6 linked regions of the Mus musculus genome follow. The protein of the gene in region 1 purifies or fractionates together with the protein of each later gene. This does not show direct contact. Links are inferred from orthologs where the notes say so. Each region holds a gene or a part of one and is shown in the gene's direction. Other genes may lie near its edges.

What was found.
Region 2: the proteins of Ubxn7 (region 1) and Ufd1 purify together in Homo sapiens (affinity purification with mass spectrometry; 3 studies listed by BioGRID and IntAct, with this or other methods). This does not show direct contact. The link is inferred for Mus musculus from reciprocal best matches to the Homo sapiens genes UBXN7 and UFD1.
Region 3: the proteins of Ubxn7 (region 1) and Topors purify together in Homo sapiens (affinity purification with mass spectrometry; 4 studies listed by BioGRID and IntAct, with this or other methods). This does not show direct contact. The link is inferred for Mus musculus from reciprocal best matches to the Homo sapiens genes UBXN7 and TOPORS.
Region 4: the proteins of Ubxn7 (region 1) and Klhdc3 purify together in Homo sapiens (affinity purification with mass spectrometry; 3 studies listed by BioGRID and IntAct, with this or other methods). This does not show direct contact. The link is inferred for Mus musculus from reciprocal best matches to the Homo sapiens genes UBXN7 and KLHDC3.
Region 5: the proteins of Ubxn7 (region 1) and Cul2 purify together in Homo sapiens (affinity purification with mass spectrometry; 6 studies listed by BioGRID and IntAct, with this or other methods). This does not show direct contact. The link is inferred for Mus musculus from reciprocal best matches to the Homo sapiens genes UBXN7 and CUL2.
Region 6: the proteins of Ubxn7 (region 1) and Cul4b purify together in Homo sapiens (affinity purification with mass spectrometry; 3 studies listed by BioGRID and IntAct, with this or other methods). This does not show direct contact. The link is inferred for Mus musculus from reciprocal best matches to the Homo sapiens genes UBXN7 and CUL4B.

What each region holds. Positions count from the first base shown.
Region 1 is NC_000082.6:32,380,519-32,384,999, forward strand, and holds part of Ubxn7 (UBX domain-containing protein 7), read left to right. Parts: exon of another isoform or gene 1-150; intron 151-743; coding exon 744-1,137; intron 1,138-1,247; coding exon 1,248-1,327; intron 1,328-4,255; coding exon 4,256-4,417; 3' UTR 4,418-4,481. UniProt on the Homo sapiens protein: Ubiquitin-binding adapter that links a subset of NEDD8-associated cullin ring ligases (CRLs) to the segregase VCP/p97, to regulate turnover of their ubiquitination substrates.
Region 2 is NC_000082.6:18,810,470-18,815,744, forward strand, and holds the start of Ufd1 (ubiquitin recognition factor in ER-associated degradation protein 1), read left to right. Parts: upstream 1-1,824; 5' UTR 1,825-1,945; coding exon 1,946-1,948; intron 1,949-4,360; coding exon 4,361-4,493; intron 4,494-4,859; coding exon 4,860-4,892; intron 4,893-5,275. Other genes in the region: Cdc45 (cell division control protein 45 homolog), read right to left, coding at 1-12, 836-895, 1,046-1,096. UniProt on the Homo sapiens protein: Essential component of the ubiquitin-dependent proteolytic pathway which degrades ubiquitin fusion proteins.
Region 3 is NC_000070.6:40,266,594-40,271,526, reverse strand, and holds the start of Topors (E3 ubiquitin-protein ligase Topors), read left to right. Parts: upstream 1-1,685; 5' UTR 1,686-1,807; coding exon of another isoform or gene 1,808-1,850; coding exon 1,851-1,853; exon of another isoform or gene 1,854-1,948; intron 1,949-3,025; coding exon 3,026-3,223; intron 3,224-4,933. Other genes in the region: Ndufb6 (NADH dehydrogenase [ubiquinone] 1 beta subcomplex subunit 6), read left to right, coding at 680-748; Smim27 (small integral membrane protein 27), read right to left, coding at 1,385-1,489, 1,808-1,852. UniProt on the Homo sapiens protein: Functions as an E3 ubiquitin-protein ligase and as an E3 SUMO1-protein ligase. Probable tumor suppressor involved in cell growth, cell proliferation and apoptosis that regulates p53/TP53 stability through ubiquitin-dependent degradation.
Region 4 is NC_000083.6:46,677,759-46,682,937, reverse strand, and holds the start of Klhdc3 (kelch domain-containing protein 3), read left to right. Parts: upstream 1-2,007; 5' UTR 2,008-2,236; intron 2,237-2,356; exon of another isoform or gene 2,357-2,596; intron 2,597-3,729; exon of another isoform or gene 3,730-3,743; 5' UTR 3,744-3,896; exon of another isoform or gene 3,897-4,137; intron 4,138-4,444; 5' UTR 4,445-4,503; coding exon 4,504-4,657; intron 4,658-4,829; coding exon 4,830-5,006; intron 5,007-5,137; coding exon 5,138-5,179. Other genes in the region: Mea1 (male-enhanced antigen 1), read right to left, coding at 68-219, 827-929, 1,041-1,321, 1,805-1,916. UniProt on the Homo sapiens protein: Substrate-recognition component of a Cul2-RING (CRL2) E3 ubiquitin-protein ligase complex of the DesCEND (destruction via C-end degrons) pathway, which recognizes a C-degron located at the extreme C terminus of target proteins, leading to their ubiquitination and degradation.
Region 5 is NC_000084.6:3,424,098-3,428,578, forward strand, and holds part of Cul2 (cullin-2), read left to right. Parts: intron 1-352; coding exon 353-460; intron 461-1,414; coding exon 1,415-1,474; intron 1,475-1,997; coding exon 1,998-2,126; intron 2,127-2,219; coding exon 2,220-2,306; intron 2,307-2,660; coding exon 2,661-2,813; intron 2,814-3,065; coding exon 3,066-3,143; intron 3,144-4,481.
Region 6 is NC_000086.7:38,573,091-38,578,106, reverse strand, and holds the start of Cul4b (cullin-4B), read left to right. Parts: upstream 1-1,910; 5' UTR 1,911-1,968; exon of another isoform or gene 1,969-2,027; intron 2,028-5,016.

The sequences.
Region 1 (4,481 bases):
GCCATATTTTGGTAATGTTATTTTCTTGTTTTGAATGTCAAATCATTGCATTTAATGAAAAGCAAGGAAGACATGTTTTTTTGATGTTTAATCATTTTAAAGAATTGTAGTTTGGCTTTAAACTTTTTTTTTTTTTCCTCGAGACAGGGTTTCTTTGTGTAGCCCTGGCTGTCCTGTAACTCACTCTGTAGACCAGGCTGGCCTCAAACTCAGAAATCCTCCTGCCTCTGCCTCCCAAGTGCTGGGATTAAAGGCGTGCGCCACCACGCCCGGCAGGCTTTAAACTTTTTTTAAAGCAAAAAATAATAAGCTATTTTCTTGGCTTTGTTCATTTTGATGCCAAAAATGCCTGAACTTAAAATGCCAGTGTACTAGTTTATATGAGAGCTTTGTGTTGTTTATTTTTGATTTAGACAGGGTCTCACTGTGTAGTACAGGCTAGCCTAAAACTTCAAGCAATTTCACACCTCTGCTTCATAAATGCTGGCATTATGTGCCACCGTATCTAGCTTAATGATAGTCCTTTATTTTTGCTTTTGAAATACTCATTGCAGTTTGTCATTCTGGTACTAAGTTCTTGCCCTCACATGGTATAAGAGACAGATTCCACTTTGGCAGAAAATCATAATGGCAAGTTGGCTAGTTTGTTTTTTTATGCACTGTTTGAGTGGTTTTTTGTTTATTTGTTTGTTTTGTTTTTGTTTAACTATTCTTTCAACTTTTGTTTTGGCTGCACCTTACAGGAGAGCCTCATAGATGCTAGTGAAGACAGCCAACTGGAAGCTGCCATCAGAGCCTCCTTGCAAGAGACACATTTCGACTCGGCCCAGGCAAAACAGGATAGCCGCTCAGATGAAGAATCTGAATCGGAACTTTTTTCTGGCAGTGAGGAATTCATATCGGTTTGTGGCTCTGATGAAGAAGAGGAGGTAGAGAATCTTGCTAAGTCCAGAAAGTCTCCTCATAAAGATTTGGGGCATAGAAAAGAGGAGAACAGAAGGCCACTGACAGAGCCCCCAGCCAGAACTGAGCCTGGCACAGCCACAAACCATCAAGGATTGCCATCCATGGATTCTGAGGTCTTGGAGATGTCACCTGAAAAGTCAGATGGAATAGTGGAGGGGATAGATGTAAATGGTGGGTTATGGTATAGACCTGCTTTACCTACTAAACTCGAACGTACTGAATGACTTGCTTAATTAATCTCCCGTATTAAACACCTGTGTATGTGTATAACTCTTCTTTAGGACCAAAAGCACAGCTGATGCTGCGGTACCCAGATGGAAAAAGGGAACAGATCACTCTTCCAGAGCAAGCCAAATTACTGGTGAGTTTATCCCATTGAAACATTTGCTTAAAGCAAAGAATCTAATTGTTTGTGCTGCTAGGGGTCAAACCCATAAGCTATGCATGTTAGGCAACCCCCTGCTATACTGTATCCTTACTCCAGAAAACAGAGCCTTGACTCCTGACACAGAGAGTTTATCTGATACCTAACTGCAGACTCATCTGACAAGAGTCCTAATTTTTTTGGGTTTTGTTGTGGTCTGTTACTTGTTTTTTTTGTTTAGGTTTTGAAGCAGGGCCTTACTATGTAAGCTGGCTAACCTGTAATTCATAGCAATTTGCCTGCCTCAGCTTGATTAAGGGTGTGGAGATTTTGAGGTGAGATCTCACTTCATAGCCCATGTAGCCTGAAACTAAAGCAGTCTTTCTGCTTAGCCTCCCAAGTGCTGAAATTAAAATCATGAGCTACCATGCCCTGTCTCATTTTTAATTATTTCCTTCTAATTATTTTAGGCAAGTCACAGGCCAGCCAAAGCTTTTCAGTTTTCAGTTTTTGTTTGTGTGGAATATACTTACTTCTGGTGGTCTGGGGGTTGTTTTCAAACTTTTTCCTTGTGTGTGCGCGCGCACGTGTGTTTTGTTTTTGAGGCAGGGTTTCCTTTTGTACCCTTGGCTGCCCTGGAACTCAGTTTGTAGAAACTCAGAGATTCTCCTGCTTCTGTCTCCTGTGTGCTGGAACTAAAGCTGTGTGCCATCACACCTGGTGGATCTAGGATTTCTTAGTTGCTGTTACTAAAACATAGTTAAGAGCCAAGGTCGTTGTTCTGTGTCTCTTCTGTAATCTGTTAGGATTTTTTTCTTGTGCTTTTGACTTTATTCCATTCCTCTCATTGTTTGCCTATGAGTTTTATTTATTTCTTGATTTGTACATGACATCACCTATCATGGTGGTTTTAAGGGCCTATTTATTTAAAAATTGTTGAGCAATGATTCTTTTTAACTGCTAGAAAAGAGGAGAATTGGTCTGACTAGCATAGCTTAACCTATGGATGGTCCTCACTCGTAGCCCACTTTGGTCAGTACCTATACCTGGCTTGGTACCATGCCTGGGATTAGTCAGTCACTCTTTTCATTTCTATAACAAAATACCTGATATAAACAACTTAAGGGTTTCTTTTTGGCTCTTGGTTTCAAAGAGATTCCATTTCAGCCCTCCAGAGCAGGATAGGCATGGCAGTGTGAGAGCATGGCAGAGGCTCCTTGTCTTGTCATAGGAACTAGAGACTTGTTTGTGTGGCTGTGAGCCAGGAACAGAGAACTAGACCAGAGCTAGAGGGTTGGATAGGAACTTCAGAGGCCTGCCTTTGGTGACCTACTTCTGTCAGCCTGGCCCTACACCCTAAAAGCTCAGACCTTAGGGGAAAGGCCATTTAAATAGAACCATACAGAAGATACTTAGGCTGATTGTTGAAGACTGACAAGTAATAGTTTCTGGCTAGTGCCAGACACTAAACTACCATTGTTTGAAATGGGACAAAGGACAAATATGATATATAACTATCTTAGTTAGGGCTTTACTGCTGTGAACAGACACCATGACCAAGGAAACTCTTTTAAGGACAACATTTAATTGTGGCTGGCTTACAGGTTCATAGGTTCAGTCCATTATCAAGGCAGGAGCATGGCAGTATCCAGGCAGGTACAGGAGGAGCTGAGAGTTCTACATCTTCATTTGAAGACTGGCTTCCAAGCAGCTAAGGACAAGGGGCTTAAAGCCCATGTCCACAGTAGCATACTTCCTCCAACAAGGCCATACCTCCAAATAGTGCTATTCCCCTGGGCCAAGCATATTCAAACCTCCACAGTGCCTTTCTCCATCTTCTAGTTCTGCTAGCAAACTTTGGTATAGAAGTGTTAAATGGAATATTCCAGAACAATTCGTAACTTTTAAATTACATACTATTCTAAATAGTACAATGAAACCTCCTACCGTTACATTCCAACACCTAGGATGTGAACCATTCCTTTTATCCAGGATAACCAGACGGTATACCCGAGAGACAATAGCCATCTTAGTTTATCTAATGAAGGTTATAGTTACTGCCAGGTTTTCTGGTCAAAGTAACTTCAAGAAACTTTTAAAACTTATATATTTAAGTTAGCTCAGTGGTTAAGAGCACTGGCTCTTACAGGTCCTGAGTTCAAATCCCAGTAACCACATGGTGGCTCACAACCATCTGTAATGAGATCCGACGTCCTCGTCTGGTCTGTCTGAAGAGAACAACAGTGTAATTACATACATAAATAAGTCAATGTGAGTGTATGTTCTTGCAAGCTGTTCAGTAACTTTTAGTGATGGCCCCGAAGCTTAAGAGGATTAATGCTGACATTTTATTACAATATATTGTATGGCATTTTATTATTAGTTGTTGTCAATATATAGAGGTCTATACTATTATTAGATATCTACCAGTGATCATGGTGCATATTTTCTAGGGACAAGGGTCACTCCTAAGTAGACCATTCTTTTGAGAAGTTTAGTTGGAAAACTAGAAGACAGTAGGTAGAGGAAAGATGACTGATTGCTTATCTGACGAGAAAGCATTTATAGAGAAGGAAGTGCTGAAGAAATTGTAATAGACAGTTATGAGATCATAGTTGATTGTAGACAGAATGTAAGGACATAACTCTTCTGATGAAGGAAAAAACTGGGTGCTATATTTTATAAATGTTGCCTGGGTTTATTTATTAGGAAGACAGTAATGACTTTTTCAGTATCAATCACATTGTAATCCTAAGTTATTGGATATAGATTTGTCTTACTATCCAAAGGGTTATGTTGGCTTTCTGTAAGCTTTGATTATTTGAATTAAGTTACTTTAATATGATAAAAATAGAATACTCATAAACTAGTCGTCATGGAGTTTATTTCCAGCTAACAGTTTTGTCTTCCTCTTGTTTTTTGTAGGCGTTGGTGAAGCATGTCCAGTCTAAAGGATATCCAAATGAACGTTTTGAACTTCTCACCAACTTCCCTCGGAGGAAGCTCTCTCATCTGGACTATGACATTACCTTACAAGAGGCTGGCCTCTGTCCTCAAGAGACTGTCTTTGTACAGGAAAGAAATTAACACCATGGCCTGACCTCTCTCAGCTTACCCCTTTTTCTCTTTTCCTGTGAGATACCATGTCACT
Region 2 (5,275 bases), about 14 Mb from region 1:
CTGAAACAGGGCCTGGAGAGAGAGCATGTGGTCAGAAACCCTCATTAAAGATAACTTACCTGCAATCACCAGAAGCAGACTAGTTGAGTTGAGACAAAGATCTATGTGATATGCTGTTTGGTAAAAGGTCAATAGGAGAAGCTACGTGGCAAGGCTGTGAGCAAGAATTCAATCTGAATCTGTACAGTGTGCCAAAGTAAAACATTAAGAGAAAAAAAATACCCTAATTTTAATTACAGGGGTTCTGAAAAATTCCTAACCCCAGCACATTGTAAAAACCACACTATGAGCCGGGTGTGGTGGCGCACGCACGCCTTTAATCCCAGCACTCGGAAGGCAGAGGGAGATGGATTTGAGTTCGAGGCCAGCCTGGTCTATAAAGTGAGTTCCAGGACAGCCAGGGCTACACAGAGAAACCCTGTCTTGAAAAAACAAAAACAAAAAAACAAACCACACTATGGTCAGAGCCCAAACTAACAATCTTCTCTAATAGACTCGGGGCTCCTGTATTTCCTGCACTCCCTATTATACCACTCCCCACTGTCACATCTCCTCTCTCAAATTCCATCTTTGAGAGGTCATTTACAAATTCAAAGATTTCAGAAGTGAAACCATTTTCACTTGGGTTACTGTATAAAACACTACGTACTTGTCTCACTGTTTGCACTATACTTCTCTCTAGCTCCAGTATAGGTCAGAGAGGATATTTTGGGTTCCTCACCTCCTGCCTGCTCCTTCTGGTCCCTCCCCTTCTGTGACCTACCCCCTGCTGGGGCCAACCCTGATCTGTCACCTCTCCCTCCTGTCCTACCTTCCTAAGGTATTCAAAGCTCACCTGGAGGATCTTGCAAGCACACAAGGCATCCACGTCCGAGGCCACAAAGAGAAGGACCCTCTGTAGAAGCAAACGTGGACAGATGAGTTGAACACAGGGACGCTAAACTCTGTGGCAACTCTCTGACCTCCCGGCCCATCCACGGACACTCGCCCTCTTCTCCCCAGCCCCCAGATAAGGTTTGGATCAGGATCGTGGAATGGGAGTCACCTGGTTGTGGACCGTCTCGTAGAACTCCTTGCGGAAATCGGTCACGAACATAGCCACAGCGGCGGATACCTAGAACTGGCGCTGAGACACGGACAGCCCCGGAGGTCGTCAAGACTCCCGCCAAATCACAGCTCTTCTGATTGGTCCACGCCAGCAGCCAATAATTCTTAGCCTTTCCTCCTTTCTGATTGGTTCCTACTGGGGACAGCCAATAATGCTCTGCTATTCGCAGCTGGATAAGACCCGCCCGTCCCTCAAAAAATGAAACATCTTTCCTCAGGCTGCGAACCTTGTTGCCGGTGTTGACGCTAACGTCCAGTCACCCAAAACCACCTATGTTTGGCAGACATCTTTACTTCGGGAAGGAAGGTCTATTATCTGACCCTGGCATACTTAGAAAACAATATACTCTTAGACATAAAGTAAATTCAGTCACACATTATTTGAATGTGTTTCCAATAAGTTTCCAATACACGGTTCGTCGAATTAGAGTGAGCTATAGATTACTTCCGCCCGAATCCATGATGGCCGGGATCAACGCCGGAAACTCTAGCTGCATTCTGGGTATTGTAGTCCGTAAGGAGAACGGCTCCTATCAAGTTGTTTGGAAGAGAGTACTATCTAAACATTATAAACAGTCGCTATCCTGTGAAATCAATTATCAAGTGTTTTAATGTTTACTTTAAGTAATATTCAAACCTCAGGCCTTCCCATGACTTTCTGTTTTTCCGCCGCTGACTTCAGGCCTCCGTACCCCATCCCCTGCGGTGTTCCGTCACTTCCGGCGAGCCTCTCGCGGTTTCTGGGTTTCAGAGCAGTGGCCTGGACTGCAAAGAGGGAGCTGTGGGTTTTTATTGTAAGGTTCAGGAAAAGAAGCGGCATCACCAAACGCTGTCAGTCATGGTGAGTTGACCGGGGATCGCGAACCGGATGATGCCAGAGTTGCCCCTGGAGCTGGCAGGGAGGGCCTGGACCTGGTGGCGGAGGTGCCGAGTCACCCGGGCCTGCGTCGGGCCCCGACACTGTCCCGAGAGCTTCTGTCCCAAGTGGGACCCATAATTACGAGCCACCTCTTTTCTTCTTAGCTTGTCCGAGTCATGACTCGAATGCCTTTCGGCGGGACAGCAGCCCCGAGAGTAAAAAGGAACCTGCTACTTTATGTCGATAGTTCTCATAAGTGCTCGACACGCAACAAGTTTCCATGAACTCGGAGTTAACTGGAGATTTCTTGGGGGAGTGGCGCGAGGGAGGAGAAAACGAAGGACATTAAGCTCAGCCAAAGTTCCCTGACCTTTTATTTAGTAGAAATCATGTCTTAGGCTGTATGTCACGTTGTGTTCATCACGTTGTGATAACGACAATAGGTAATATGTAGTGCGCCTTTTTTCTATCAACGTATACTTATTTAATTCCTGCATTCCCCATGGAACATAGGTACGTAGTTATTATATTTACCGGTAGAACTAAAACTTAGAGAGGTGGTACTCAGGAAAGTGAGGCTCAGAGGTTGGAAGTCAAGTCCATCCGGCTGCAGTGATGTCTCATCACTCCTGTATATAGTGTTGACTCCGTGCCATTTGTTTGTTTGTTAAAAACAAGAAGTGATTATTAGATTTTTATCCTGAGTGTCACAGTAAGTCCCTGTCTAAGTTCATTTACATAACCAGCACTGAGTGTTTGATGTGTTAGGCATAAAAGCTTTAAAGGAAGTAACATGGATGATAGAAGCTCATGTTCATTGGTGGCTGAGTTGGAAGGATACCGTTCGGGTGTTGCATACTTCATGTACGTTGTTTATGTTCCAGAGAGAAGCAGTAGGTTAGATGGATGGCATAGGTGAAGATGCTTTGACGAGCACACACCCCCCACCCCCCAACCCCATGGCTCAAAAAAGGGCTTTGTGGGTTATGCACCTAAGACTGAGTCACACAGTTCTGGTACTTAAAGAAAAAGATAAAAGACTGAAGCACGCCTTTAATCCCAGCACTAGGGAAGCAGAGGCAGGCAGATTTCTGAGTTCAAGGCCAGCCTGGTCTACAAAGTGAGTTCCAGGACAGCCAGGACGATACAGAGAAACCCTGTCTCGAATAAACCAAAAAAAAAAAAAAAAAAGACTGAAAACTTGTGTACTAGTAACTGAAGAACAGTTTATTGGTGGGGGATGTTGGTGTGCACGTGGGCTTGAGAATAGAAGCCTTCGGGTGGGTATGTGAGCCCGTATGTGCATGTGAAGGTCAGCAGACTGTCTTGGATGTAGTTCTTCGTGTCTTGACTTTGCTGGCTGGTATGAGAAAATACTTGATATGCAGTGTGCAGGTCTGTTCTGTGCTGTGAGCACCAGGAGAAGCACTAACTCTGACCCCTGCCAAAGCAAGGGAGGCTTGCTGAAGAAGAAAAAGCATTGTTACTGAAAGCCAGGTGGAGGAATACATACATGGGCATCTGCTTTTCACCACCTGCAATGCTCTTTTGGGTTTCTTGCCCAGTTGACACTCAGACATGTAGGTCTTTAATGAGGGTCTCCTCCTGAACACTTGGTTAACATCCATTCTCGGGTGCTCTCTGTCCCGATACCTGTTTCTTGTCTTTAAAACTCCTAGACATAGGTATTTTATTGTTATCTTCCTTGTCTTTCATATCAAGTTCCCCAGGGCAGAGGTGATATCTGCCTGCAGTACCCAAACATTACTAAAGTGATATCCCCTAAAGTCCAGATTGGAGCCACACAAATGGTAGGCACTCAGGAAAAGAGGTGGCTTCTAAGTTAAGGATGGTGGGGAAAGGGCTCCAGGTGGAGTTACAAGTCCAGAGACAGAAACGTTAGGTTAGGAGATGGTGGATGGTCAGTAATGAGTCTCTGTGAAGTGTATGTAAGGCCCAGCCTTGATCCATCTTGAGAATAGGGAATAGTAGCAGAAGAATAGGAGGGGAAGGCCTGGTTTTATATTTAGTAAAGTTGCACTGTCTATAGATAATAGAAACTGGACCTGAGGGATGAGTTTGGGAGGCACAAGAAGGATTTGAGGTTCACCGTGCCGCCGAGGTGGTCAAAAGAACATTCTGGTTAGTTGAGATTTTAGTTTGCTGTGTTCTTTGACCACATTTATACGCACTGATGACTTGCTATGTTAGTGCTTGGCCTAAAGAAACATACCTTTGAGGTAGATACAGTGCACATTTGTGTACATTTGTTATGTGGGAGGCTAAGTCAAGGTCACCGGGATTCAGGACTTGATGACCAGCCTCTTTTTTTTTTACAGTGCCTTTGTTTCTTTGTTTTAATAATAATACCATTTCTTTCTTTCTTTCTCCTAGTTTTCTTTCAACATGTTTGACCACCCGATTCCCCGGGTCTTCCAGAACCGCTTCTCCACGCAGTACCGCTGCTTCTCCGTGTCCATGCTAGCAGGGCCTAATGACAGGTCAGATGTGGAGAAAGGAGGGAAGAGTATGTGCCTGTTTTTATTTTGAATAGTAACCTTTCCTGCCCTAAACTCTATGAGCCCTGTAGCCTTCTATAGCCCTTAGTTTGCATGTGGGCACCAGACACTAACATTATAGTAAAAATGTCACTGTCCTAAGGCATGGGTGGTGGGAGTAGGGTGCTAATTATGTTTGTTGACTAAATGCCATTCAGAGCACAAAAATAAATTACTTCAAGTAAGATTCTTTATGAAAAGTCGTTATGAAATTCTGGCTAGCCCCAAACCACTGTTTAAAGCTTTTAAAAGATGCATCAGAAAGTATACATCTTGCCTTTGGTCTACCCTTTTGTTTTTATTTACTTAATATTCCTGAAATATTCTTTTCACAGTAATTATGCCACCCTCAGCCCTCGATCAACTCAGTAAGTACTTTCTATATAAGTACGGGAAGCCAGAAATGGGCATGGGCTTTTCATTGTCCTCAGAGTCTGTGTAACATTTGTCAGGATGTGGTTAGAATCCTCTTTGGAGGGTGTGCTGGCCTAGAAGGACCAGGGGCAAGTACCTTAGATGAGGCAAAGCATGGCTCTGCTTCCCACTGCAAGGGTGCTATAAGCACCCACTCAGTAAAGGGTACTCTTTTCTCTTTCTTCTCACCTCAGCCCCTTCCCCAGTGCCTGGCTTGTCTCAAGAACTTGTCTAGATACAAAGGAACAGCACTTTGTATAGTGCTTGAGTAGTTCATACTGTGGTGTGGGCTCACTAGGTTGTCTTCCTAAAGGGGAAAAAAAGCTTGATCTCCAAG
Region 3 (4,933 bases), on another chromosome or scaffold:
CTTATTAAAATGAATAATAGAGCATAACTAGCTTTTTCATGCAGTGCCTGAACATGGACTAGCATAGAGTGACCATCTATGCACAGTATTTTTGAAACTTGGAGGTGGATGTTGAGACAATAGATTGAAGGAATAAAATACTAAATCTTGTAATCAGAAGGATGTCATTACCTTGATTGTGGAGATAGATAGTCTCACAAGTATATCCATGCTTCAGAACTACAGTCTACCGTCTAAATATGCACTTTAGTATGCCTTTTAATTTTTAAGTCCTCATGTAATAGTTTGATTAATCTTTTTTAGCTTCATTTACAAATCAGTACAAGTAAAAAATTAGCACCTAAATTGAAATGTTTTAGGTAAAATGCAAAATAATTTTAATGGCCTTTTTTGGGGATTCTTTTTGTTGTTTTTTTGTTTGTTTTAAGACAGGGTCGATCTATGTAGTCTTGTCTGCCCTGAAACTTGCTATGTAGACCAGCTAGCTTCAAACTAGAGATCTGCCTGCCTCTACCTCTAGAGCACTGGGATTAATTCACCATCAGACCTGGCTTAAATTTAACAAATGTAAAGAAAGTATCTTTATAGTCATTTATTGTGTTGAGCAAATGTTGGAATATTTACAATGAAATGTATATTTGGTGAAAAATCTCTATTAAACACTTCCTGTTTTCCCTAGGGTGATACAATTCTGGAGACTGGAGAAGTAATTCCACCAATGAGAGATTTTCCTGATCAACATCATTGAAGAGTCCTTAAAAACTTAACAGACTTGTGTAACAGCACAAGTATGTTCCTAAAGTGCTGTATTTACTGAATCTGTTTCCTGGAAAAGTAATTAATAAAGCTTATTCTCAGAGTGTTATCACTGTCCGTGTTACTGTCCAAAGGTTCTATGATTTGAGACTAACAGTAAAAAGACAAATACTAAACAGAGCTATTAGCTACTTTTTTCTGTCCATTTTGATAAACAGGATGCAAAACACATTTTAGTCACAGTGTTGTTTACATACTGATTTGACATGAGGATGTGAAGTGTTTGAGCACTAGAATGAAAAGCTATGACCTGATACAAAATAGAGCCGGGCGTGGGGGCGCACGCCTTTACTCCCAGCACTCGGGAGGCAGAGGCAGGCGGATTTCTGAGTTCAAGGTCAGCCTGGTCTACAAAGTGAGTTCCAGGACAGCCAGGGCTATACAGAGAAACCCTGTCTCGAAAAAAAAAAAAGGGGGGGGGGGGTGTTGTCCGATCATTTTGAAAAATTGGCATGTTAACGCTTATCACAAAAGGCCACACGCAAATTTGTATTGTGAATTTTACTTTGAGTCTACATAGGTGCCATCTGAAGAAAAGAAGTGTTTGCTAAGAATTACAAAAGTTCGTTCAGAAGAACTTGTCTGGAAACTCCTTCTGTAGTTGTCGTCGTGCAGCTACAGTCGATGCATAGATGACGAATCCCCAAGAGAGCAAGACGATTGCAAGGAGCAACTAAAAGGAGGGGAGGAAAAGCAAAAAGAAGAAATCAATGTGCCGGGTCCTTTCCCTGTGTAGCCCGAGCAAGCAGCTACAGGTGGAAAGGCATCACATGCCTCTAACACAGTGCAGCCCAGAGGCAAGCAGGCCTGCAACCCCTGACGTCAGAGGCGGAAAAGCGTGTCCTCCAGGAAGAGGCGGAGCCGAGGGCAGGGCGTGAACGCTCAATTTAGGAATGGGTTCTGGAGTTCCAAGCTGCGAGCCAACAGTCTACCTTCGGCTCGCGGGCCCTGCCATGGTGCGCTCTGGAGCTCCGCTCTGCTCGGTACCTACCAGGGAGTAAGTCCAGTCCAGGCTTCGGCGACTCATCGGCCTCATGGTAAGGGAGCAGCGGGGACGGGGTGGCAAGGGCCCTACAGCCTGCTCGCGGGCGCATTGCACCCCGATGCAGCAGCCATTTTTCAGCGGGACTCTGCGCGCTCCCGCGGGCTTCCGCCCGGAGTTGGAACACATCACGTGATCCGGGCCTAGCCCGCCTTTCAGGCAGCAGAGGGAATAAAAGAGAAAATGTGAAGATCGCGCCTTTTTTGCGCTCACATAGGAATTCCTTAACTGCTTTATCCTGCATTTGCAGTGCGGTATTAATACAAGATAGTGTGCCATCGTGTGCATATAAAAGTTTATTGGAAAATAGTCCACGGTGGAAGAATCAAAGTTGCCGTCCCACACCCACATCGGTTTCCACCAAATGCGGATAGACCTTCATATGTTTATGCTTGACTTAAACATCTTTTACGTAACAAAAACATCGTTGGGAACTGTTAGTTGAGCCGTTCACCAAGAACAAACAGAATATTATCGCTGATGGCTGGAAATCTTTTCAAATATGTTGTACAGGTAGCCCGCATGGTGGATCTGCCGGCCAACAAGTGTTGACGGGCAGTTTGTCGAATGCTTGGGACTGCAGCAAGTTTGAAATACTAAGTCCCGAGAAAGGCAGCTTGGCAGGCCAACTATCAGGATGCTGGTGGTGTGCAGAGTGGAAGCCTGGCCGGCAGAGGCTGGGCCGCTCGGCTTTGGGCGCAGATGTGTCAGATACATTTTTAGTGTAGATTTCCGAGAGTGGAAAGAGGGAAGCGGGCCGCAGGGAGTTATGGCGGGGTAAAAGAAATGCCTGATGGTCAACCCAGCTGAAATAGACGGAAGGACCAGGGTGCTCTGGGAGCTCAGTCCAGTTCCCGTGGCACCATAGAGAATCCTAACAACTTGTTGAAGTTTGTGAGGTTCCACTGATACTGAGGCAGCCTTTCTGCATATTTGGTTGTGATTGTGGAGTTTGTGCTGTGCCCCCCCGCGGTGGGGGCAGGGCAGGGTCCGGGGTCTGTGCCGTAACGTCCCGCCTCCTGCGTGCGGCAGCGGTTTGGCGCATGCGCCCAGAGCTCGGGGGAAGGGGGTGGAGGAGCGGTGTTTTGCTGCGCGGGCTCGGGGGGTTGGTCTCGCCTTCTCTCCGCCTCCAAACTGCCTGTGGGTGATGAACGTTCTACGTCATAGGGGTCGCAGCCGCCGCCACCGGGGTCTCCGCTGTCTCGCGAGGAGGGTGAAGCGCCCCCTCTGGTGCCTGCCGAGGAGGGGAGGCGCCGAAGCCGCCGGGTACGCCTTCGCGGATCCTGCCGCCACCGGCCGAGCTTACTGAGCCGGCGGGAGCTGGCTTCCAACGGCCCAGCGGTTCCTGCCACCGCGTCCTCGGAGGTGAGTCGGCCGGGAACAATGGGTGAGGGGTTCCAGTAGGCCCTGGAGCAGCCCTGTGGTCTGGGCCTTCTTCCACCCGGAGCTCCCAAGGGCTGGGGTCGCCACGCTGCAGGGCACCTGTGGATCGGCACCGGTGGGCAAGCGAGGGGAGTGTCTCCCTGCACTGCCTGAAGGGCTGGAGCGCAACTGAATACGGGATAGAGCTGTGTGTCGGCGCAAAACAGTTGCCACTGTTAGGAAGTGTGACCTTGGTAGGTCCCCAGCCCTGGACCCTGTCTGTGAAATGGGATCAGCATTTCAGTTGGTCGTGTTTATGTAACATGCATGGTGTGGTTGTCTTTCCATCCGAGACAGTAGTTTTGGACTAAGGAAGCTGTTAAGGCTAGAGGAGTTGTGCAGTGCTACACATTGTGGGCAGGGCTTGTATGCCTTGTGACTTTATTACACATCTAGTTAGTGCCCTTTGCTCATGGGCTGCTGATTCTGATTGGTAGACTGGAGAGGGGCAGTTACGGGATTGAAGGCACGGAGATTAAGACCGGAACTGGGAAGCAGCAGTTCTACTGGGCACCGTCCTATGTTAAAGTGGAGAAAGAAGGAAAAAACGTATGTGTCTTAAGAGTTGAGCTAGTACAGGGTAGAGTGTTTCGTTTGAGAGGATTTGAGGGTTTGGAAATAGATGGAATGCAAAGTGCAGGGCTCTTCAGTCAGTCACACTCAATGCGTATCTAGAAGGAGAGGCTTTCACGGGGCTAGCTTCCAAGCAACCCTCACCCCTTTTATTTTGGGGCAGGGACTTTTGTAGCCAAGAGTGGTCTGGAGTTCCCTACTTTGCAAAGGATGACCTTGGTCTTCTCACCGTCTTGCCTTCATATTCCAGTCTTCTGGGAATGCAGGAATATTCCAGGGTGCCTGGTCCCAATTAAATTTTATTATTACCAGAATTGAAATTCAATCTGGACAGTGGTGGTGCATACCTTTAATCCCAGCAGAGGCAGAGGCAGGCAGAGCTCTGAGTTCAAGGCCAGCTTAGTGTACAGAGTGAGTTCCAGGACAGCCAGGGCTCCACAGAGAAACTCTGTCTAGCCTCACTAAAAAAAGAAGAAATTAAATTTGGTCATTTAGGACTTAACAAATTTTAAACTATTCAGATTTACAAGTAGAATGCAGATTGCTTTTTACCAGTCATTCTGTTTTATCTATTTGTGGATGTTGTTAGCTGCTTTGCTTAGATATGTTAAATATAATTGTTATCATCTTTGGAAACTGTCAGAGGTGTGGGTGATGATCACTACCAATATCAAACTTTTCCATAACTTAAGCAACTATGTTGAACTCTCATCATCAAACCCTGCACCAAGTGTTTGCTTATTCAAATTGTATCCCTTCACACAACTTTTTTTTCCCCCTTTTCAAAAGACTATTGGTATTCTGTCTTAGTTAAGGTTTTACTGCTGTGAAGAGACACCATGACCACGGCAACTCTTAATAAGGACAACATTTAATGGGAGCTGGCTTATAGGTTCAGAGGTTCAGTCCATTATCGTCTAGGCAGGCATGATGCAGGCAGAGCTGAGAGTTGTACATCTTCATCCAAAGGAAGCCAGAAGTAGACTGGTCCAGGTGGCTAGGAGGAGGTTATCATAGCCTACCCCGACAGTAACAAGTTTCCTCCAACAAGGGTGTAACCCCTCCTAGTAGTACCCTGGG
Region 4 (5,179 bases), on another chromosome or scaffold:
CCAGAGTTGTTAGTCCTGTGCTGGTCCTGACTTGGAATGTAGGGAGGTAAGGCAGCTCGCTCTCTGGTCACTTCCAGGCAGGGGATGCCTGCCGGGCTTGGAGGGCTTTCTGTACCACATCTTCCCACTGAGCGTCCGAGATCTCCCGAGCCCAGGCAGGAACCCCTGGTGCAGGCAGGCTTACTCCAGCCATCGTCCTTTTCACCAGCTCTACATGTTCTGAAAGCACAGCCAGACTGGTTAGGGAATAAAGAACGGGACCAGCAGCCGGGCGTGGTGGCGCACGCCTTTAATCCCAGCACTCGGGAGGCAGAGGCAGGCGGATTTCTGAGTTCGAGGCCAGCCTGGTCTACAAAGTGAGCTCCAGGACAGCCAGGGCTATACAGAGAAACCCTGTCTCGAAAACCCAAAAAAAAAAAAAAAAAAAAAAAAAAGAACGGGACCAGCTCCTCTCTCCCTAGTGCCTCAGTCAGCCCAAGACCCCCAACACATCATCACGCCCTCATTATTGCCAGGTCTGCCCATTCCCAAGTCTAGTGAGACAGCATTTCACTTAGATTCTGAAGTCCACAAAATCTCAGGTAACGAAATTTTTAGGAATAAAGTGATCTTGTTTGGGGGTGAGGGGGAGAATGGGGGGCATTGTATTCGGTTTTTCTCTGTGCAGCCCTGACTCTCCTGGAATTTGCTCTGTAGACCAGGAGACCACCAGCCTGCCTCTGCCTCATGAGCGCTGGGATTAAAGGTGTGCACCACCATGCCCAGTTCTTACTAGTTTTTGGTAATTATTTCTAAATGAAGGAATGAGCTTTGGTTGTTTTTGTACCTGGGTCCATGGGGATAGAGCTGTGGCTGCTCAATGCGGCGGCTCCCTCCTCATCTTCATCCTCACTCTCCAATGGAGGGTCTGGCAGATGAAGCCCCAGGGCCTGCAGAACCAGAGAAGATAATTTGTTAGGCGCCCCTCCCCCTGCCATTATGATAAACAGCTGTTGGTACATTCCATCTCATCTGCTTAGTAACAGCATCCTCCACCATACCTGGATCCGATCTTGGATGTCAGCAGCTCCATCTTCTCCTTCACCCACTGGTGCCAATTCCACCTCTTCTTGTTCAGGGTCTTGATTGAGGGGCTGGTACGAGTAGCCTGCTGGGCCTGCTCCTGTTTCCTCCTGCTCTTCCTCGGGTTCTTCACTGCTCCAATCCCCAGTTCCTTCTGTAGGACCCTGATGTGGCCCTAAGTCCTCAGTCTGATTGGGGAAGATACGCTCAGGGCCCATGGTGTCTCCCCCTAGAACTACTGCTGCCATCCGGGCAGGGGCTGCAGGGACAGAAAGGCGGGATAGGGATGGGATGAAACCAGGTCTCCTTTCACGTTCAGCCACCCACTTCCCTCTCGCATGGAACTTGCATCTTCCTCCCGTCTCTCCTGCCTCCCTGTCTCAAGTTTGGGTTCTCATATTGAGCTGGAGCACACACGTCTTTAACTCGCCCGATTCCTAAATGAACCGACCACCGGAGGGTTTCACCTCTTCCTAAAAGCCTCTTCCCAGAACCTCGCCCCTCTCACCACGCCCCTCCTCTGGAGGTAACTGCTGGTCGCCAGGCTACCCACCATAGCGCGTCCCCGCCCCTCATTCCCTCTATTCCGGGGGAGTGTAGTACCGCCTGGCAAAAACCCCTTCAGGCCCAGGGTCTCCCCTTCAATGGCCCCAGCTACAGAGTCCCCTACCCGCCCCACTGATTCTCGGCGTTGGTATTTCCTCGCGCCTCACCCTCTCAGAGCCCACAGCCGGACCCGCACCTTCACTTCCGGCGGGGCAGGACATGCTGGGGCTCTTAGTCCTCCAGCCCCGCCCCGTGCCCGAGACTGACGCAAGCGAGGACAAGTCCGCCTCTTGCCCCGCCTCCGCCATCCCCTGCCCGGACCACAAAGAACTACATTACCCAGTGACCCTCAGGCGTGCGACGTGAACTGGTGTTCTGCGCATGCGCACAAACCGGCCCCGCCCACCCGCTCCCCATCTTTCGGCCCTGGGGTAATTCGTGGACTACAAGTCCCTGAAGCTGTCGGGCCGGCAATTCTCACTGCACGTGCGCGTCCCGCTGCCCGCCGGAAGGACGAAGTCTGGCAGTGTTTATCTCGTTGGGGACCGAGGAATCGGTTGGCGGGCAACGGGTTCTAGGCTGCTGGCAGCGCGAGGACCCGCGGCCCCACCCCGGCCCGGCCTGGCAGGTAGCCTGGGATGGGTTGGGGGGATGAGGAAAATTGAAGGGACAGGCGACGCCCATTGCCTACGGCTGGGGCCGCGCGGGAGGGGCTGAGAAGGCTGAGCTGGGGGTGGGGAGGGAGCTAGGGGGATGCTGGGAAAGAGGAGTGTTAATGGTCCGCGAAAGGGTTAGGGGAAAATGGCCTGGAGACGGGTGGGAGAGACCTGGTGGCTGGAGGAAGCGCTGAGAGAAGTGGACGAGTGGGTTCCGAAGAGAATCAGGAAGCTGAGCATAATGGCAGGGGGAGGGGGCAGTGTGGCGTCGTGGGGGAGGGGCGGCTGAGAAAGGTGGACTACAACCGGAGACCAGTCTCATTCACAGAGCGGTATGGTTGGCAGGGGATAAGAATGGCTTGCTTCCCTTCGTGAACTTAGACGAGTTAGAGGGCTCTGGTGTGGACCTTGAAGTGGTGGGAGGAGGAACTGCAAGGCTCTCGGGAAATTAAGAAGGGAAGGGGCGCGAGCAGGGAGGGGAAGCCGACCTCAGGGGCTGGGATGTTGAAAATGGCCTATTGGTGGGAAATGCTGGAGACCCAGAGATAACGTATAACCTCCTGCCTCCGAGTTCTCCTTAGGAAGATGGAGTCTTCCTCCGTCTGCCACTGGGATTGTAGTCTTATCTTTGTGCATTTTCGTTTTATCTGGACTTACTTTCAAAGGAGAGTAAAAGATATGAAGGAGGTTGATAGGCTCTCCACCACCACGTTCTTTCCTTTCTTTCTCTATTTTTTGTTTGTTTTTTTTTTTTGAGACAGGTTCTTGTAGCTCTGGCTAATTTGGGACTTACTGTGTAGACCCAGGTGGCTGACCTTAATTACACAGACATCCCCCTGCCTCCATGCCCCAGCACGAGTGCCTTGGACTTGGATTCTTAAGCTTTCAGTCCTCTTTCTCTGATAAGCAAAAATTGAAGAGCCTGAGTAATGAAGGAACAGTTTAACTTTTGGCTGCTGCTGTTTCACATTGAGAGAGATGGCTACTTAAAGTATACAGTGAAAGGTTGTGGGGGCAGTTGATTCATGAAAGCTGCGTCTGTCCCCTTGAAGGGAACCTCCTTTGCTTGAGGTGCACCCACCCCACCCCCGAGGTTTTTCCTCCCTGCCAAGGATTTTTGAACAGGAAGTGAATGATCACCCAAACCCAGCAGATGTCTCCTGGCAAAGGCATCGCTAGTTGCAAAAAGATTTGCCTGAAAGAGCTCTCAGATATACCTGTTATCACTAGGCTGGCCGGCTGTCTTTACAAAGCCGTGGCCCCTCTCATCTTTGGGGCTTTCTCTTGTCCTGCCCAAAGGTATTTTTGCTTTCTTTCCTCTTTCCAATCTACACTCCTACCCCATCTCTCCTCTAGAGACCCAGACAGGGGCAGGGCTGCTGGAAGTGGCGTGTTCGCTAACAATAGTCCGGCTGAGAAAGTTGAGGGCGCTCCTCCCTGCCCCCGACTCTCAGTATACACATACCTTTCTGGTTTAAGTTTCTAGTCCTGGCAGCATACGAGCCACAGCTGTCAAAGGAACTCCTCGTGCCTGTAGACACCCTGGGTGACCCCAGGGACAACGGATCAGCTTGACAAGAACGCTCTGTGAGGGGCTAATCAACCATGGTTACATGGAGTTCCCTGTCCTAGGTAGGGACACTGTTCTCCTCTGAAAGCCTAAAGCTCCTTTTTACTTTAAAGCACCCATGCCAGCTCTCAGTGGACTGTCTGGGGCTGGCTGGGCTATTAATAGCTGTGAGTATTTTGAGATCCCTACCTTTAAGAGATGGAGGGAAATTCTTAGAGAGGTGGCAGTAAACAGAGCCAGAAGCAAGAACACACCCAGTATGGAAAAGGGCTGGGAGGCTGGGGGCTTGGAGCTTGTTCCAAGCCGGGGGCAGGGTGGAGTTGACAGATGCGGGGGGGGGGGGGGGGGGGCAGTCATGATCACCAGATTCTGAGCTGGCAGTCAGGTTAAGGTGGCCCCACCCTTCACTGTGGGAGAACACAGGGCCAGGGCAAGCTCCTTGACCTCTGCGGCTCTCTTGGGGCAGGGCCAGCCACCTGAGCTGTGATCAGTGTCCCTGTAGAGGGGTGGTGTAGGAGGGCCACTGGGGTGGCACTTAGAGGCAAAGACTGGTTCTGGGCAGCCACCGTGAAGCTCATCTGAGGAACCCGTGGCACCGATTTGTGTACAGGTAGCAGAGGCAGCAGGCCGTGCCGGGGGGGCATGTTCCTGTAACCTGTGGCCCAGGGGATGTTACGGTGGACAGTGCATCTGGAGGGCGGGCCACGCAGGGTGAACCATGCTGCAGTGGCTGTCGGGCACCGAGTATATTCCTTCGGGGGTTACTGCTCTGGGGAAGACTACGAAACACTACGGCAGATAGATGTGCACATTTTCAATGCTGGTAAGCCAGTCCCGTATCTTTCTGGAGTCCCTACACCATGGGAGGTAGTGGGCACCTGAATGAAGTGCAGTGGTGGTCTCTGCGGCAAGGGGGTTGGGTAAGAATGGTTGGTTTGGGACAAGGTGGCAGCTTGAAAGGAGGTTCCCAGGGCTGAGGAGAGCTGTATCCACAGTGTCCTTGCGTTGGACAAAGCTGCCCCCAGTGAGGCCTGCCGTCCGAGGGCAGGCTCCTGTCGTTCCCTACATGCGCTATGGGCACTCAACCGTCCTCATTGATGACACCGTCTTCCTTTGGGGTGGGCGCAATGACACTGAAGGGGCCTGCAACGTACTCTACGCCTTTGATGTCAGTGAGTATGGGTCTCAAATGACACCTTGGACCTGGGAAAGGGGGGGTTGGGGAGAGTGCTGGAGAATAGAAGGCCAGAATTGAGGCCGGTGTGTCAGCTGACCTGTGTCGTTCTCTTACCTCTCTCAAAAGATACTCACAAGTGGTCTACACCCCGAGTGTCAGGGGCAGTTC
Region 5 (4,481 bases), on another chromosome or scaffold:
CCAGGACCTCATTCTGAGGCACACACAGGCTTTCTCGTCCTTCTCAGAATTCATCCTAGTGTAGTTGGGCCTGGGATTTAGGGATCCCCCTGTGACCCAGCATAGTAGTATGTGTGCCTTTACATGGCAGAGGACCTGTCAGGCTGTTGTTGAATGGCAGTCCCATTTGATAGATAAAGAGAAGTCTTAAACTTTTAAGACCAATGTAACCAGAGATATGGAGTTGGGGATATGGAGGAGTATAAGTATAATTTGAGTATATAAGTATAAAAAAAATAAACTATATTCTTTATTCAAGTTTTGTTCTTGAAAATCTTAAAATGTGAATTTATACTTTGTATTTTGTTTTTAGATGCCAACACTATTTGTGGAATCAGTTTTGGAAGTACATGGTAAATTCGTTCAACTTATCAACACTGTTTTGAATGGTGATCAGCATTTTATGAGTGCTTTAGATAAGGTAACTTTAAAACAAATAACCCATGCATGTGATCTGTACATGGGATTTTCTTTAACCTGTGATGTGGTTTTCAGTTGGGCATCTTTGCTAGGCAGTCAAGTTTGAGAACCTTGAGCACTGAAATGTACATTAAATAACTAGTTTAAATTTGGGAATCTTAAATTTTAAAGTGGTAAAATGAACTTATAGTGTCTTATGTCAGTCTTTCTGAGTTATTAGTGACCTGGTGTGCATAATTCTAATTTTCTTTAGTTCTGGTCCTTTGTTAGAGCCCCGGCAGTGGCAGGACTATATTTCTGTTTAACCTATACCACATTTAGACTGTATTCATTCTTGGTTTGAAAGACACCATGAATTTGAATTGATATTTGACATAAGAAATTGACTCTTGATTTGTGAGATAGTCATCTTCCTGCTAATTTAACAGAACAGAGCTAAGCAGAAGGAATTCTTTTAACTCAGGGTTTCACAAGTTTCTGCCTAACTAATTATGTTGCTTTGGGCTTCTCATAGTACATGAAGATGTTCACCTAATGGTGACAGAAAGTAGCACAGAAAGAAGGAAAAGAAGCCCCACATCCCTGGGCCGCCAATATCCCTTTTAACACATGGCCTTGAGAGTTGCTGGGGATAGCTCAACCTCCAGTACCCATGTCAAAACAATGGTGTGATAGTGTAATCTAGTGCTGGAGAAGGCTGGGATCATGGGGCTTGCTGTCCAGCTAGCTTACACCCTAAGTCTCATGACAGACTCTGAAGATTTTGAAGAACAATAGCTAAGGTAGACCTTGCCTTCATTTATGTTTATACTTCTTTATGTGAACACCTATACATTACATACAGAGATAGAAAGAGAGATAGCTAAACTGTGGGTATTATAGACATAGATCAGATCCACAGCCACCACTTTTGCCTCCTTCTGGTAACTAATCACTGGGCTGTTTTCTCGTTTAGGCCCTTACATCTGTTGTAAATTACAGAGAACCCAAGTCTGTTTGCAAAGCGCCTGAACTGGTAAGTTTAGTTGCTTGAAGGTAATCTCATGTGAAGTTGTAAAGGGAAGTTACTAGAATGGCAAATTAATTTGTGTACTCATTTTCAGAATATGAAAATTGTCCGCATTATATATATATTTAAATTTACGTTCAGAATGCATTAAACAATGTTCCTTTTTTTAACCAAAGGAGAAAATATTTCATAAAGATGATAATCCTGTTAAAAAGGCATGCATACTATTCATTATCTGATTAGGTTTTTTTCTTAGTTCTAGTGTCTTATGTTTTTAAAACTTAGCTGATCACGCATGTTTTACATTCATAATATTAAAGTATAACTTTAGGATGTAACAGCTTTCAACATCTGTTGAGCCACTTTTGCTTTGCTTTTGTCCCATCGATGGTAACCGTTTACCGGCTTGTTTTCATGTTTATGCTCTTACATCTGTTCTAAGTGACAAACCTATGAGGCTTTGTGTTGCCGCCTTTGAAGTGTCTGTCCAAAGGGCCTTTGTAAGATGTATTATTACTTTCTCTTTGAGCTTGCTAAGTACTGTGACAACTTGCTAAAGAAGTCAGCGAAGGGGATGACTGAAAATGAAGTGGAGGACAAGCTCACTAGCTTCATCACAGTTTTCAAGTACATTGATGACAAGGACGTCTTTCAGAAGGTGAGCTGAACAGCATTCAGATCAGAGTTACCAGCTTCACTCTGTTTTGAATTTCAAGTCACAACAAAAGTAACCATTCCCATTTTCCTGCAGTTCTATGCAAGAATGCTAGCAAAACGTCTAATTCACGGGTTGTCTATGTCTATGGATTCTGAAGAAGCCATGATCAATAAATTAAAGGTACCATAAATCTTTAGTGTGATAGATAATATCATAGAAATCTTGTACCAACAGCCAAGTATGCTCATTATATGTAATGACTGTATACTTCAGCAGTCATTGATGTGTATACATACAGCAGGCTGTGTAAGTGGTCAGGCATGAGTGTATTTGTGTACAGTGTTGGGTGTCAGTATGAGATTCAAAGGGGCAGAGGTTTCCAGTGATTTAAGATGATCTTTAAGTTCAGTATTGATAACAAAAAAAAAAAAACAAAAACTACAACTAAAATAAAATAAAACCCTCTGGTCTCCTAATTGATCCCTGGCTGGTCATTCTCAGTTTAGGTTATATTCTTTGCAACTTGTTTTCCAGCAAGCCTGTGGTTATGAGTTTACCAGCAAGCTGCATCGAATGTATACAGACATGAGTGTCAGCGCTGATTTGAACAATAAGTTCAACAATTTCATCAGAAACCAAGACACCGTGATTGACTTGGGGATTAGTTTCCAAATATATGTTCTTCAGGTATGATAGTATTTTTCTTTTTTAGATTTATGAATCATTTTGACAATGTAATATAGAAGGTTAGCAAATGATGCCTGATAACGTCTAGTCAGCTTTTGAGCTGTGGACCACATTTTACAGACTTGGAATAAAATGGGCCATAGCACTGTCAGAATTCCAAGAAAGAGAAAAGGTGTCTCAGCAGCTCACCATTGAAATGGGTTTTTTGGGGTAGATATCTGTTGAACGTTTTATCTCACTGTTCCTTTTTAGGCTGGTGCGTGGCCTCTCACTCAGGCTCCTTCATCTACATTTGCAATTCCCCAAGAGCTAGAGAAAAGTGTACAGATGGTAAGTGTTCTGGGAAGCAAACAGTAAACAAAGGCATGGTAGTGATGCTCTGTGTGTGTGATTGTGTGTGTGTAGTATGTGTGTGTGTGTGTAGTGATGCTCTGTGTGTGTGTAGTGTGTGTGTGTGTAGTGATGCTTTGTGTGTGTGTGTGATGTGTGTGTGTGTGTAGTGATGCTTTGTGTGTGTGTGTGATGTGTGTGTGTGATGTGTGTGTGTGTGTGTGGTGTGTGTGTGTGTGTGTGTGTGTGTGTGTGTGTGTGTGTGTGTGATGTGTGTGTTTCAGTTTGGGGTTTATTTGTAATACACAGGAACCTCATCAGCTCTTAGTAAGCACCTGTAGTTCATAGGATGTGGTATTTTATGTAAGTTTAGGGATAATGGCAATGGATGGCTCAGTTGGGTAATGGCACTTGCTTGGTGAAGCCTGACAAACTGGATTCAATCTTCACACCCCTCGAGATTGATGGAGAGAGTCAGCTCCCATGAGTCGTCCTTTCACGCTCATGTGTGGCCCTAGCATGAACAACATACCACCATTCCAAATACATAGTTAAGTAAATAAATGTGTATTATTTTAGAAAAAAAGAGAAAGCTTCAAATCTTTCTACTTTCCCATTTGAACTTTGAAGCCATTTTTAGGCTTCATTTAGTTCTGGTAATATTTTAATTTTCCTGTAATTGAGACAAGTGTTAGGTATAGACTGAGATATGAAAGCATAATATGTGAAAGCTGCATTTTGAAGTGATTCTAAAGTGGGACAGAAATCCTAGAAGACTAAAGACTGACCTGTCTGAGGTTGTCTGAGAGTCTGCATATGCACATAAATGGGCAAATACATAAATACATTTTTTAAAGTAAAACTAAGTCTGTCACTCACGAAGAAACTTTGGGTTCTACCCCAACACAAATGTAATTAGGACTAATGTCTTTTATACATCCAGTCCAGCCAAGGAATTTTTTTTAATTCCTAAGCTTTGATAAAAATAAATTTTAAGGAAGTTTTTTCAACATTTATTTATTATGTATACAACATTCTGCCTGCCTGTATACTTGCAGGCCAGAAGAGGGCACCAGATCTCATTATAGATGGTTATGAGCCACCATATGGTTGCTAGGAATTGAACTCAGGAACTCAGAAGTCAGATGAGGTTGTGGGATCCCCTGGAACTGGAGTTGTGAGCAATCTATAAGCCATTTCTTATGGGTTCTGTGATCCAAAATGTCATTTGCAATTGGAGTATGCATTGTTAAGTACTGACTCTTTAGACTCTTGTTCATGCAATTATAAAGTTAAATGTACTAATATCAGCAAAAGGGCAGTAGATAGACACCTTGA
Region 6 (5,016 bases), on another chromosome or scaffold:
AATTAAAGAGTTGTCTCCTAGTTTCATGGAAGGTAGAGTTTATGTTCCAGTCTTCCCAATTTCCATTTATTTATGTTTATTAATCTGTTTTCTAAACTGGATTTCACGATGTAGTCTAGCTGCAAGTCAAAGGCAATCAATCAGAAGTGTCATCCTCCAAATACTAGAATAATCAGCATGAACCACTATGGGGAGCTTTTTCCTTATGGTTTAGGTGTGGTTTTTGTATTTCACTCTTCTGTTACAATTTGTATTGGGAGGCATAGGTATCAGGTCATAGCCTTGAGAACAGCAAGTAATTGTCCTAATATTAAGCCATAACTCCAGTTTCAATTTTAAAGTAAACCAAACAATGCTCTCGGTACAGTGGCAACAGAAAGGATTTGTTTGTTTGTTTGTTTGTTTGTTTGATTGATTGATTGATTGATTTAATTTTTCAAGACAGCGTTTCTCTGTGTAGTTCTGGCTGTCCTGGACTTGCCTTGTAGTCTCTAAAAACCAAAAACCAAACCAAACAACAAACAGAATGCTGTTAAACTTAGTAGCAACATCAAGGGATAGAGACCCAGACTAGAGATAAAACTTTGCATTTTTCTAAATCAGAACAGAGAAGTCCTTTTCTCTTGTGTTTGAATTTCTTTTGTTTGTTTTGAAAGGAGGTGCTGTGTAAGTCCCCCTGTGTAGCCAAGGCTGACCTTGAACTGCAGCTCCTCCTGTCAGCTTCACACATTCTGGCATGCATAATAGCACCAGGTTTTTTCTTCAGCTTCTGATCTGTGAATTTAAGACCTAAAGGCCACTAGAAACCCAGTTGTATCTACCATAAAGGACTACTAGAGAATAAAGCTATATAGAGAGAAGCTTAGATGAGAGATAAAGAGAGAGGCTGAGAAACAAGATAATAGTTGAGTTCCTGGCTCTAGCTGGGATTGAGGTTTGCCCTGTCTGGATATAGAAACCAATCGACTTCTTTTGTTTCTTTTTCTTTTTCTTTTCTTTTCTTTTCTTTTCTTTTTTCTTTTTTTTTCTTTTTTTTTTTTTTGGTTTTTCGAGACAGGGTTTCTCTGTGTAGTCCTGGCTGTCCTGGGTTTTTGTTTCTTAAGCTTAGTCAAATTAGGGGTCCTGACACTTGACAAAACAGTCTCAATAAGTTAGATGTGAGCTACAAGTTAGACATGCGATAAACAGAATCTCGTGACTTTCTCCTCTCACTTTAAAAAATATATATGGAAATATTTTACATGCTCCACTAGTAGATGAGCTGGAGGGCCCTAGACTCCTGTTTGTGGAAGTCTGAGACTTCCAACTATGTCTTCCTCCATTTTAGCGCTCTTTGGAGACTCTCTGTAAGGAGTCTGATTCTAGTCTCCTCTAGCCTAGTGTTGTGTCAATAGAGACCTAGTAGGGAGTGAAAACTTTTATTACTCTTCCAATGGTAACAGAGGCCACCCCTCATCTCATCTGTCAGTTTAGGAACTTTGTGAAATTACAGAACAGTGACCTCTTAGTATCTTGGAGATATTCCTGTTGGAGAGATTTTGGGAAATATATCCAATTATCACATTGTGCTGAGATGAGAGTTTTTACGTTTGCTGGTTTGGTTTGGTTTGGTTTGGTTTTTGAGACAAGGAGTATATGTAGCTGATGTAGTATATACTCTGGCCTCGAACTCAACAGCCTTTGGCGACAGACAGCCTCGTATACCGCCTCGGGCATCAACTTCCCGGTGAATGCTGGGATAAAGCCTCAAACAGTCACAAGGTGACCAGCTTCGTTTTGATTGGCTAAGACATCACCGAAGCCCTTTGTTGTTCAGCAATGTGCTGCTGTAGGACTGGTCAGATCTGCTGTCAATTATCTGAAAGGCGTTACAGTTGGTGGGTGGGGCTAGAATAGACTAGGGTGTTATCAGTCTGGTCCGGGCGCAGTCGACGACAGACGTCTTCCAGAAGGTCTCTGATTCATGAGGTATGAGAGCCCCAACGGATGAATGTTAGAACAAAATCTTTGTTGATCCTCCAGTGACTGTAAGTTAAAAGACCTCTCGAAAGACAGAAAAATGTATTCTTTAGAAATTAGAAAGGTGGGTCAGATTTCGGGCCCCTTAAGAAAGGTGGGTCAGATTTAGGGCCTTGTAAGTGGGTCATAACTTGGAGGTAACTCTTTAGTCTCACTTGGTACTAAATGTCATCAACTGTTTAAAGGGGAGGGGGGATGCTAGAAGCCATAGTCTTATCGGTGATGTGAAGAAGTTAAGGCAGAACTTGTTAGAATTGGTTAACACAGAAATACCCTCAAGTACAGCTATGTGTCGGTATAGTCAAAAGAATCTTATGGAAGCTTGTAGGACTGGGAAAAGGCCGCCATTCAGGAAAGTACTTTTGTTTTGATTTCGGTTTCAGTTTCCATAAACCCAAATGGGAGAATCTGACTTTGGATTCTTGTTCACTAAACTCTCTTCCTCTGAGAAGGTGAGACAGGAGGATCCCTGGAGCTTCCTAGCCAGCTGGTTGTCTAGCCTAATAAGTGGGTTCCACGTCAGTACGTGACCCTGTCACAACAGGGAAGAACACACTGGGACCTCTGCCCTCCATTTATTCTTGACCCGCCCCCATTTCCATGGCCTCCCCCCCTTCTTTTTCCCACCATTCCCTGTGCCCTCATCCTCCCCACCCCTCCACCTCAACCCTTTCCCTCCCTCACTTCTTCTTTTGACCTCTTTACCTCTCACCTGGATACCTGCACCTCTCCTGACCTAAACTTCCTTCTCCTCCCCCATCTCTGCTCTTTACCCATTGCCCATCCCTGTCCCAGCCCCTCCTTCCTGTCTGCTCCCTTGTCACACTGCTGCTCTTTCCCCTCCCCCTCCCTCCCTCCTCCCCTCTCTTCTTCCTCTCCCTTCCCCTCCATATCCCTTCCTGTTCCTTCCAGTCCCCTCCTTCAATCCTCCTCTCATCGCCCTTCTCCCTACCCTCCCTTAGTCCTCCACCCCCTCATTCTCATCCCCATACCCTCCTCCCTGCCCTCCCTTCATCCCCACTGCCAACTTTCACTCCCACCTTCTTACTCCCTCCCTTTGCCCCTCCCCTGCAATCACCCTCCTCCTTTTCCCTCTTCCCAACTTTCTTCTTGCCCCTCCTTCATCGCCACCCTCTTCCACTGCCCATTATCCTCTCTGCCTAGCCCCCAATCTTCGAGCTCCCTCATGGTAATCCTTTACTTTCCTTCCTGCCCTTCTCCAATCCACCGCTTCCCTCAACCCCTCCTGTCTTTATCCTCCCAGTCCACCCCCTCCCTTACCCTCCTTCCCATCTCCTTTCCTCATACTCCTCCCTCAATTCCCCTCCTTCCTCCCTAAATCTCCCTCTTTTCTCACCCTTTCCTTTCTTTTTTTTTTTGGGGGGGGGGAGGGTTCGAGACAGGGTTTCTCTGTGTAGCCCTGGCTGTCCTGGAACTCACATTGTAGACCAGGCTGGCCTCGAACTCAGAAATCCGCCTGCCTCTGCCTCCCAAGTGCTGGGATTAAAGGCATGCGCCACCACGCCTGGCTTCTAACCCTTTTTTTAAAAACTGAACTAAACATTTTATTAATATTAATTCTTTTTTTTAGATTTATTTATTATATGTAAGTACACTGTAGCTGTCTTCAGATGCACCAGAAGAGGGAGTCAGATCTCGTTACGGATGGTTGTGAGTCACCATGTGGTTGCTGGGATTTGAACTCAGGACCTTTGGAAGAACAGTCGGGTGCTCTTACCCACTGAGCCATCTCACCAGCCCTAATATTAATTCTTATCCATGAACATATAATTTCCACCTACTTGGGCCTTCACTTTATTTCAGTAATATTATGAAGTTTTCAGAATACAAAGCGTTCACTTTCCTGTTTATGTTTATTCCTAAATATTTTGTTTATTTTTTATTATTTATAAATAAGTAAATTAAAGATATGTTATTTATATACCTTTATTATTGATATTTAAATTTTTCTTTTCAGACAACTTGTCATTTGTATATAGAAATGCTATTAATTGTGTGATGGTTATATATCTTACAATTTGTATTAATTAATATTAAACCAAAAATATTTCTAGTTAAAAAAAAAGAAATGGGTCCTATAATATGTCAACAGCTACAAAATCACAAGCCTAGTTTCAAATGTTCAATACATTAACACTCTTTGTTAGTAAGCCATATTTCTGGGGATATTGATGAATAAAGAAAAGCTTATATTAAATGAGGGAACCCATTTCCAGAAAGAAAAATGTTCCATGTTTTCACATCTTCTGTTCTTAGTTCCTAAACTTCAGATCTGAGTATAAAACCTGGAAGAACAGATAGTGGAGGGTTTACTTAACAAGACTAGGCACATCCTTTTGCTGTAAGGAAGGAGCTACCAAGGATAATTGGATACCTAGGGTTTTATTTGTATTGGGACTTTCTCACCCTTCTTAATACCCCTAATCCCTACCCTCCTCCCTCAATATTTCCTTCTCCCTCACCCTCCTTAATTTTCCTCAGTACACTCCTCCCTTACCTTCCTCCTTAATTCTCTCCTGCCTTCAGTCTCCCTCTTCCTTTATACTCCTCCTTAGTCTCCCTCCTCCCTCTCCCCACTTCCTTAATCCCCTTTCTCCCTACTCTCCTCCTTAATCCCCTTTTTCTCCTTATCCTCCTCCCTCAATCTACCTCCTCCCTCCTCTTAGTCCTCCTCCTTCCCTATCTCCCTCCTCTTAGTCCCCATCCTCCTTTTCCTTCTCCTTCCCTCACACTCTTCTCACCATTGTTCTTCACCCTCCCTCCCTCTTCTCTTTTCATCCCCTCTCCCTCCCTCTCATCATCCTCCCTCACCGACCTCCCCTCTCCTTTCTCCCAGTCTTCCTTTTTCTTTCTCCTTCTCCTTTTCCTTAGTCTCGCTCTTCCCTCTCTCCCATGTTTCCTGTTCCTTACTCTCTCTTCCTTCCCTTGCCTTCTCAGTAGTCCCACACCCTCTCACTACATCCTCTCCTTCCTTTC